Linked DNA regions of Coturnix japonica. The protein of the gene in region 2 purifies or fractionates together with the protein of the main gene of each other region. This does not show direct contact. Links are inferred from orthologs where the notes say so. Each region holds a gene or a part of one and is shown on either strand. Other genes may lie near its edges.

What was found.
Region 1: the proteins of DHX38 (region 2) and PPP4R3A purify together in Homo sapiens (co-immunoprecipitation; 3 studies listed by BioGRID and IntAct, with this or other methods). This does not show direct contact. The link is inferred for Coturnix japonica from reciprocal best matches to the Homo sapiens genes DHX38 and PPP4R3A.
Region 3: the proteins of DHX38 (region 2) and NUDCD1 purify together in Homo sapiens (co-immunoprecipitation; 3 studies listed by BioGRID and IntAct, with this or other methods). This does not show direct contact. The link is inferred for Coturnix japonica from reciprocal best matches to the Homo sapiens genes DHX38 and NUDCD1.

The regions. Positions count from the first base shown.
Region 1 is NC_029520.1:40,221,167-40,224,164, forward strand, and holds the end of PPP4R3A (serine/threonine-protein phosphatase 4 regulatory subunit 3A), read right to left. Parts: intron 2,914-2,998; coding exon 2,687-2,913; intron 1,451-2,686; coding exon 1,337-1,450; 3' UTR 548-1,336; downstream 1-547. UniProt on the Homo sapiens protein: Regulatory subunit of serine/threonine-protein phosphatase 4. May regulate the activity of PPP4C at centrosomal microtubule organizing centers.
Region 2 is NC_029526.1:17,617,920-17,621,574, forward strand, and holds part of DHX38 (pre-mRNA-splicing factor ATP-dependent RNA helicase PRP16), read right to left. Parts: intron 2,882-3,655; coding exon 2,720-2,881; intron 2,635-2,719; coding exon 2,527-2,634; intron 1,650-2,526; coding exon 1,537-1,649; intron 1,430-1,536; coding exon 1,292-1,429; intron 1,045-1,291; coding exon 858-1,044; intron 770-857; coding exon 584-769; intron 141-583; coding exon 1-140. UniProt on the Homo sapiens protein: Probable ATP-binding RNA helicase. Involved in pre-mRNA splicing as component of the spliceosome.
Region 3 is NC_029517.1:119,470,185-119,473,839, forward strand, and holds part of NUDCD1 (nudC domain-containing protein 1), read right to left. Parts: intron 2,177-3,655; coding exon 1,994-2,176; intron 1-1,993.

The DNA.
Region 1 (2,998 bases), on a different chromosome or scaffold from region 2:
ATTTCAAAAGATGGTATCCTTGTAAAGCATTTATTTTGCAACCATCTTTGATTCACTAGAACTGGTATTCCAAAGGAAGCCAGAAGTTAAAAACCAAAACAAAAAAACCAACCACTAATGCCATTTTCCTTCAGATTTAATTCTTCTTCTTTTTTTAACTTCTATTAAGTCAAATAAGTCATTAAATTGGTATTCCTAAATCATCCACCTTCCATTTTGATGAGTTAGTCTACCACCATTGCTAAGAAATTTCCAAGTCTCTTTGAAATACTAATTTCATGTTTATAGGTATCTATTTTTTTAACTCCATCCTATTTTCCCTGAATTTTTTTTTTTTTTTGCAGGACATCTGCTGATGTAAAATTTCATATAAAATATTTAGTCACAAAATAGTATTGCTTTTTTATGCACACTGCGGTAAGATTAAGGATTTTTTATCCAATAAAAACTATACCATCTTCCGTAAAATCCTAAACACATTAAGAACTGTGATGCAGAACAAAATTCCACAGGGTGAAACAGGTACCAGCACAACAGTGAGATTATATTACATCAAAAAATTTTAATGGTCCCAAATATATACTCAACAACTAAGCATACACTCAGGGGGTCAAAAAAAATTATGACACAAAAGTGACCACATCTAGAATTCCACTCAATCTTTAATCAGAAAGGGACAAACAAATCCCCCACCTCCAAAAAAAAAATAAAATCTGCAGTTTAAAGGGCAAAGGGAACAGATTTTAAAAAAAAAAAAAAAAAAAAAAAAAAAAAAAAAAAAAAAAAAAAAAAAACAGGAAAAAAAGGAAACTTGATATTCAGCCCCTCCCCCACAGAGGTTTTTAAAACCTGTTGTAGCTTGACTAAAATGTTCAGAATGTACGATTTTCAAAGGCAGGTCTCTTTTATACAAAGAAACTGCTGGCATTCTTAACTAGTGAAGAATTATGGCAAAAACCGCCTTTTCTTCAGAAGTCTCATGTATGGTCCAAGAAAGCATACTCTGATTGTAGCAACTGACCAGCCAATCCAGAGTTCCACTAACAAAACTCCTGCCCTGTTGGCTTTTTTGTTTTTGTTTTCCATTTCCTTCCCTGAGAAAAGGGCAACACGTGGTCCAAGCTGGAGAGCTCAAAGGCGTAAGTCTTTCCCCTAAACGAAGTATTTCCCCTTCTTCTGCTCCTTTCAATTGGCACTTGATTGGCAGAAATCCATTTGTATAGGTTGGTCTGTGTTACACACAGTAATTCACAAAAGATTGCTGCTTTGTTGTGGGTTTGTTTTCTATGGAAAAAATATCCTTCCCCCAAATGGTAATGTTCTTCAGCAGTTGCCATTATGATGACTCAAGCTTTGCTTTCTTTGACAAAGGTAAAGTTTCCTCCTTATCTTCATCTTCATCATCCTCTTCATCATCATCAGGATAATCCACAAGCCCAACGAGGCCTCCCTACAAAGACAGGCACAGCTACTTTAATTAAGAAAATAGTTTGCACTTCATGTTTCTATTAGAAAATGACTTTTGCACAACATTTTGCCGTAAGGATATCGATTAATCACGTTCTGGATATAATCGAGCAGAACAAAAGGTATGAATGGAGATTATATTGTCTGAAAAATATTTAAATGAATAAAGACAAAATGGGGTTTTAAGTACCCCACTGGGTAGAGATACAGCAGAAAGAAAATCCCAAAATCTACTTCGTTTTGCTAAATATACACCACAGCTCAGTCTGTAAAAGTGCAAATTTCTCCCACCGAGCAGAGCTGACTGCAGCACCAAGCAATCTGGAAGCACTTCAGAAATAAATACAGAACACCCTGAGTTTGAATTTCCAACTGGGACACTTTTATAGCAACAGTCTGTCTTCACAAAAGCCAGTTTAAGTGTTCAGCAATTAAATTTAAATTCTCTTGTTCTGCATATAACCACAAATCCGGGATTAGAACCCACAAAGAGGTGACACCATCTTTAAAAACTTTAACTACTGTACGTCACAATTTCTGAAGCTTAACAAGGACTTAACTATGATGACAGATGCTGGTTCTTTACTTAAGGATCATGTTATTTAAACAGATGATGGGCACTTAAAATAGAAAATTTCAGCTAACTGTTCAGTACCAAGATGCATGCATTAAATTGTACTTCTATTAAATTGCACACATTTTGTACCATCACATGTAGCACAACACTGAATATACAAGAGGATCAAACAGTTATTGAAGTACTTAATTACAACGTTTCTAGTTTGTGAATGCAGCACCTTTATAAGCAATGCATGTTACACTGAAAAAAAAAAGGAATTAATGCTTGAATTTATTAGTTTTTTCAGTGCACTGCATATTCAGTGTAGTCTGAACATTCCTTGTTCTATCATCATTGAAAATGTGAAGTTAATAGTGAATGCATATATTCCATATGTAAAGACTCCATTCCATACTTAAAGAATTGTACCACCTGAGAGACATGGTACAAAAATTATGTATTTGGGCATAAACAGAGCTTTTATTTTTTCTTTTTATATATAGGAGATCTGGAAAATACTAAACATTAGACAAAAAGCATGCACAAACCATACAGTCCACAACTGCTTAGTATGTCAGAATCCCCACCAACTTCAGAAACATGCTAAAGAAAATTCCCAGTCTATAACAATGAAGTCAGACTACTTCTGTTGAAAATTACCTTAGTTGTAATAGCTGCCATCTGAGATGTGCTTTTAGAAACGGACCCCGGAGACCCAGGGGATCCTGGAGATCCGGGAGAACCTGGGGATCCAGGCAGATTACTTGCAGATGACTGACTGCTAAGATTAGATTTTGTCCCGCTGGAAAAGGAAAGCTTGAAACTTGGGCTCTGACGACCTGAAAGGTTTGTTTTCAGAAGAACTTCCTTTTCTTCACTCTCTTTTACTGCACAGGAAACACGAAAACAAAAACCAATGCAACATTATTGAACAAATAATGACATATCATTTTTCTGTGTGGGAAAATACTT
Region 2 (3,655 bases):
TTGCTGAAAAGAATATCAACAGGAAAGGTGCGCCCAGGAATGTGGAAAATGGGAACATTCCCAAAAAAAGAGGCAAATTTATCAGCATCCATGGTGGCAGAGGTGACAACGAGCTTCAGATCAGAGCGACGTGCTACCACCTAGAAAACAGATAAAAAGGACAATAAACAAGTGGTATTTGTATGTGGGTCCAGGCTTCTTCCATCACTACTGAAAAAAACAGCAAAGGGCTGAGCTTCCACTGTACTCTAGAAACACTAACCACTAATGCCATGGTACGAAAACACACACTGTCCAGTTAAAAAGACAGGCTGTCCCCAGCTGAGAAAGTCTTACACCTGCAAACACCTCTGTAACTAGAGCTACTTTATACCAGCAAGCCTTTGGCAGTACACTAAAGGGGAGATTTAAGAAACAAAGAACAAGATGTTTAAGCATCAAGTGCAGTCAGAGATGCAGCAGTCTCTGTTCATGATCTCTGCTCTGACCTGGGGGAGAAGCACTAACCCTGCCAATATTCTGCCCTAAGACCAGCTCATATGCCCCGTGTTGCTGTCCTCCTGTAGCCCAGGCTCACACACACCTCCCGAAGCAGGCCAAAGAGCACATCAGTATTGAGCGAGCGCTCGTGTGCCTCATCCATGATGATAGCACTGTAGTTGTCCAAGTCAGCCTCTCTCAGCGACTCACGAAGGAGGATCCCATCTGTCATGTATTTGATTATCGTGCTCTCTGACGTGCAGTCTTCAAAGCGGATGGCATAACCCACCTGGGGGGCAGAGATATCAGCAAGTCTTCAACAGCTCTGCATATGCACTGTCTAGAGGCTGCATGCCTACATATGCTGCCAGACTCACCTCCTCTCCCAGACGCACTCCCATCTCTTCACTGACCCGCTTGGCAACCGACATGGCTGCCACTCTGCGGGGCTGCGTGCAGCCAATCATGCCATAGTCTGTGTAGCCATCCTCATGGAGGTACTGCGTCAGCTGAGTTGTTTTACCGCTCCCTGTCTCCCCTACCACAATCACAATGCTGTTGTCCCTGAAGAAAGGGGAACAATATTTATTCATACACCACAAAGACAGCCTTCTTCATTCATAGCCCTGGCTGGCCACACAAAAGCAGTCCTGCTTTGGCAGAAGAGCTGCTATCAATCACACAAAGCAATGAGCTTTGTTTTCAAAGATTCCAAACAGAACACATATCTAGGTAAATTTCTCACTTGGGATCCTGAAATGTAAGCCAAAGCCCCAGGGTTACACTACAACTGGTTACCGAGCAGTCATACCTGAGGATGGAAAGCAGCTCCTGCTGCACAGCAAAGATGGGCAGATATTGTCTCTGCTCCAGAATCGACTTCTTCTTGGCAAACTCACTCCTTGCTTCACTTTTTTCTTTCATGTGTTCAGCAAACTTCTGCTCTGTCCTAAGGAAACATGAGAAGTCTTGAAGCTGTCTCCTCACACACTTTGCTTTGCCTGTAGCATAGGCATAACACCACCAGCTAGGCAGAAATCATCCAAAAGCTCCTACTTGTAATCTACTTTGCCATCTTCTGTCACCATCTCATCCTTCTCCTCTTCCTTCTTGATCCCCATAATGTCTCCCAGTTTTGTGCCTGCCAGCTCCCAGTGTTTATGCTGAGCCTGGAAGCACAAAGAGCAGTGTAAGTACCACAGCGGGGACTGAAAAATCATTCTCCTTCTGTCCTACTCCTAAGGCTAGAAAATCATGTTTGCCTCAATCCCCTGGTGCTTAAGGAGAGAACACACATTTCCTATATCAAGTCTCCATCCTCCAAGCAAACTGGGGCAGAACTTTTTTAGACACTGGTTTGGATAAAGACACAACAAGCACAGGATGATCAACAGCCCTCTATGAATACTGTTTCAGCTGCTGACCCTTCCATTATATTTACACTTAAACAAACAACAATCTGAACCAGAGCTAATCTTCCTACTATTAACAGGTATCGACAGGTACTCTCACCATTCTGTTTTCTCTCACGCTTCATAACAGGACTTCCCACTTTCCACTCACAGTACACCAGCTCAGATTCAGTTTACTATGAACACATCTATGCTTTCCTAACTGCTATCATGTAAGCTTTAGAGAAAGTCTTTCTATTAGGGAAACATCCACAAAGACTAATACACCACCTTCCTGTATATTCTTTCTCAAAAATCTTTTGCTGAGACATGGTGAGATCTGTCCTGCTACCACACTGAATGTTGACTGTGCCTGAGCTACACGGTATTCTTCCACTTGCTCTTCTCTCCCCATCCAAATGCCCTTTGGATCACACTCCCCAGCACAAATGCACAGTAATTAACATCCCAGGCAGTGCCTAAAGAAGTCACAACAGCTACTCGTGAGACAATGCAATGAACTGGACTAACAGGATATGTCAGATCACACAAATAAGGGGAACACATTACCATTACCATCAAAGCTTATATTCTACAAAGTCCAAACAAAAGCTGTGAGGCATTACATAACACGTACAGTGAGGTCTCAACATACCCTTTTACGCTCCTTTTGCTCCCTGTGCTTGCGCACCAACTGGCTGCCCTTTCGGGCTATGATGGCCAAGTCAGAAGTGGCATCCTTTACAGGGATGACTGGCTCTGGCTAAAGGAAAGAGGCATTGCTTCAACACAGAGAGCTCACATTTGTGAGGCTCCCCATCATTGGCACCGTTAGCCACAGCTTCTACCTGTTTTGTGAAGACTATCCTCCCATCTAGGAAAGGAGGCACCAGGTTATGCACCAGCAGATGCACTTTGGCTGAGTTATCCTCTTCAAAATCTTCATCCACTTCAATCCGATGAACCACACCACTGGTCAGCATGCGATTTGTCTCCCAACGCTCGTTATCCTGCAGGAAAGAACATATCAGAAGATTTTAACTATTACCTTCCATTATCCAAAATTCAAGAACCACACATTACCCAAACTAATTCCAAGGCAATAAACTAAGTAACACAGCTAGCTGCAAAGCACTACAACACCATGAGCAAATGAGGATGGCTTCATTTATTCTTAAAAGAAAAAGTTAAAAGCAGTTAACTACTGAAGGCAAATCTGTAACTGACTACAATACACACCACAGTTACAGTACACAGCTTTAAGCACTGAAATGATCCAATGCTGAATCTGTTGGTCTTCCTTCCCCAAAAGGGAAAGAGCTTGGAGACCCAAAGACAAAAATAAGTAAGCCTGGAATGTGGAGGAGTAACACTGAAGGTTACAGAGACCACAAATAAGCATTAGGAAAAGAACACTATCTGAAGACAAGTATGGTAAATGGAGACTAGCCACATAAAGTACGGAGTAAACAGAATTGTCTCAAAGGAAATGGAAGGCAAACAATCTACAACGCCCCTACCATACACTGAATACGTTAGAAAGCCTGGAGACAAACCTACTTTTATGCTGAGGGAAGCAGCTCTGAGAGTCCGCCAGAGGAACAGCAGACAGTCTTAACAATGTAATCTATGCCCCCTGCATAGCATAGCCCTTCAGATTCCTGCAGCTCTGAACACTCATCCACTGCAGTCACTCTAATGGTAAATTCCAACCCATGCAGGAGATGCAGGACTGCACTTTCCAAAGAAACATAACAATAGTTTCCTTTTGAGCCTCTCATTTG
Region 3 (3,655 bases), on a different chromosome or scaffold from region 2:
TGCAAACAATTTTCTTAAAATACATCCTGATTATTAGACAGAAACTTTTTTAAACAATCAAATTAATTTGTGTCACTCATCTGGAAAACAACTTCTGTTAATGTCTGTACTCAAATATGCTGATGGAGTTATCCAGTGGATGTTAGATACTAACCTACAGTTATTACAGCCTTATGAAATTGATATCCAAAATGTATTTCAGTACATTGAGGTATTAATGATCAATGACTCAGTTAAACAGACACCAGTAGCACGACAGTTATGACAAGCTACTCCATACTCAGGGGTGTAAGCTATTCAGAAATATGAACATATTTCCCTCATCTATTTTGCCAGAAGTTACACTGACAATTACAGAAATGGTTTTAGAAGACCAAATAGTCTTCATTTGCTTCACTTGACGTAGATGAAATAGAACTGCCTTCCAAGAAGTAACAACTGAATTTTGCTTCTGGGTCTACAATCTGCCTGATGCCTATCTTGATTATTAAGCTGCCTTTCTATGAGAAATACTTAAACAGAGGACAGCAAAAAAGCTGTTTAAAGGCTAGAGGACGTGTTCAGTCAGAAGTGGATGAGGACGCTGAATTTGTTAAGCCTGAAGAAAGAAGGTTGAGGGGTCACCTCACTGCCCTCTGCAACTTCCAGAGATTGGCAGGTGGAGAGGAGCTCATCCAGCATCAGGACTGACGGGAATGCCTTAAAGCTGCACTAAAAATTAGAAAGAGGTTTTTAGACATGGGAACAGGCTTCCTAGAGAGGTGGCTGCTGCCCCATGGCTGCCCATACTTAAGAAACACTTCAGTAACACTCTTAGTGTGTTTTAACTTTGGATTGGCCCCAAAGTATCCCTGACAGTTGGACTTGGAGATTTTAGTAGGTGTTTTCCAACCGAAACTATTCTGTTCCATAAAGGCTATGACAGCATGACTGAGCGGTGAAAACATGGTCATAGAAAACACAGCTACAGGTGTATTCATTTTCTTTTAAATTCAGAGGAGAATTGAAGTTTGGATGGACTCATTTTCTGAAATGCTTTAGAAGCTCTCCATATTGTCACAGTACAATATTTGGCTGACCATGTCAGCAGCTGAAGCTGCTTACCTTTGACACAGACTTTATCTGGTCTTTTTTTATGCTGAATTGGAATTTGATCGAATTAAACTTTCTTTTTATTTTTTTTTTTTTTTTTTTTTTTTTTCTTCTTTCTTTTCCTTTGCATTACCTTCTAGACTACTTTATTAGCAATAAAGCATGAATAGGGCAGAACAGGAAGGAGCAAAGGAAAAAGCCAAAATAACAGTGAGTAATATAACCAGCTTAATCATAGTATCATAGTCTCGTGTGGGTTGGAAGGGACGTTAGAGTTTAGCCTTTTCTTGAAGTCATTTTTTTTTTCTAAGACTTCTTTCTTAATGAAGATCTTTACAAGATTCTCATTCATAAAAAAACCAAACAAATGATTTTTTATTGCTGTTTGAAAAGTAAGTGTATTTTACACCCCAGGGAGATCTCCCTGCTGAACAGCACCTTGGGGGAGCTTCACTCCCAACTGTTTGGGTGCCATATCCCTTATTTTATCTAGGAAGACTAACTTCTCCATCTGAGTACTTCAGCTAAATGCTTGAATTTAGGCAGCCTAAACTTTGAGTAAACAACTCAACCGTTAGCAAATAATCAGTATGGTTCTCTTGGCAAAATGCCATTATCCTTGTGTCAAAGAAATTCTTTATGTTCCTTCTATGCCAAAATGTTTCCCCTATAGGCTTATGCACAATACAACTTTCCAGGAAGAAAACAAACACAATGAAGTCCACCTGCCCATGAAAAAAATAAATAAATAGATCAGGAAAAAAACAAACAAACAAACAAAAAAAAAAACCCAGACATTTAAGGCAGATATTAAGACTAACATTTACTAGGATTTCCAAACAAGCTCTTTTCTTATCCAAAACAGTGAGTAATCTATCATAACCTGTCAAATAGGTTTTACCTTTCTTTTCATTTGTTGTTTTATCATCATTTTCTTCTAAAATTTCTTCCTCTTCTGGTACAAATTTGAATGGTTTGTAGGAAATAATCATTAGACCATCTCCACTTGGTTCTACTGCTGCATAGTGAGGGACTGATTTTCCTTGTAAAACTCTCCTTTTGCTGATTTCATACCTATGTTCATCTATAAAATGAAGAAAAAAATAAGAACCTCATTACACTTAAAAATGCTAAGCAATCCTACAAATTAAATAACAGTAGCTTAGAAGGAAATCTCTTTTTCAGTGACTTTATTATACATGTAGGTCCCAAATTAATTTAACACTGTCCTTTTTTCTTACGATGTCTTCTTTAATTACAGCTAGCTCAGCAATTCACAAAACTTCTCCGTAGAAACAGGCCTTCCAAATATTTTTAGAGCTGATATGAGAGCTTGAGAAACAACAACATAGCTTCTGATAACACTTCACCCATAGTGGAAAATGCCTGCTTTCACTTTTGAAGATCTGTGTTTTACAAAAGCTGAAAGGTCCTAGTTGTCAGCTATTGACATCAAGGACTGTGCCTTATCCTACTGTGCTCCCAAACATATGAGTACCGATGACTTAAAACATGGTGAAGTGAGAGGTTCTGGAGTTTGCTGTCCTTTAATTAAAACCTAACTGGACTTGAAGCCCTCAGTATTTGATCAACTTTTTATAACAACAGATTGTACAAAAAGATTTTTAGCAGTTAACTATCAACATGATAAAATTCTGACAGGCGATAATATTATCTCTAATAATTGTTTGACTTTTCACACATATCTTTAATCTCTTTACTAAAAGAATTTGCTCTACTTGTGAGTACAACTTTACTTGTAACAGAAAAAACAACAACTCAATACCAGGAATTTATTAGCAGAGACACTAAACAAGACAAGATCATGATGGTAAAATTCTTCTATACCACTCTAGTACTCCAAAGTGTCGTGGTTCACCTCAGTGTTTATGTCACAGTGCAATACAGACAACAATGGATAAACCATTGTTTAAAATTTGGGTGCCCTTAACAAGTTATCTTACATGCTAAAAATTAGTTTAGAAATAGAGAAAGGAGCAAGAACCAGTCTACAGTGTAATTCTGGTCCTTGTTCAGTTCTGCTTCTGGTTCAGTTAAAGTCCTGTCCACTTTTCTAAGTATAAGCACTTCTATTAGTAGAATAAGTATAGCCATTCTAATCCAAGACAGAGCAAGATTTCATCTATACAATTATTAGACTCCAGATGGGGAACCTGCATCAACAGATGACCTCAGATTAGATGGATGACCAAATCAAGTATGACTACATTGTACTGGGAAATTAAATTCTTATACAATGTTTTGAAAAGTACGAGAGATATTAATTAGAAATAGTTTTCAACTTAGATTTTAATAGACAGAGCTAAATGGGAATTTATTATTCATCCCATAATGTCGTATTATTCCTAGCTTGTTTTCTAATCGCCTTAACTATACACATGCAGAAATTGACTCCTTCCTGTCCTCCAAATGTTTGTCATACTGCAGGTCTACAAGTGAGAACTTGAATTTAAAGTGTGATGAGGGTTTTGTTGGGATGCAAACATCAGAAATTGAGGAACAATCAACATCCAAAACAATTAATGAAAGCATAATAGCTGTT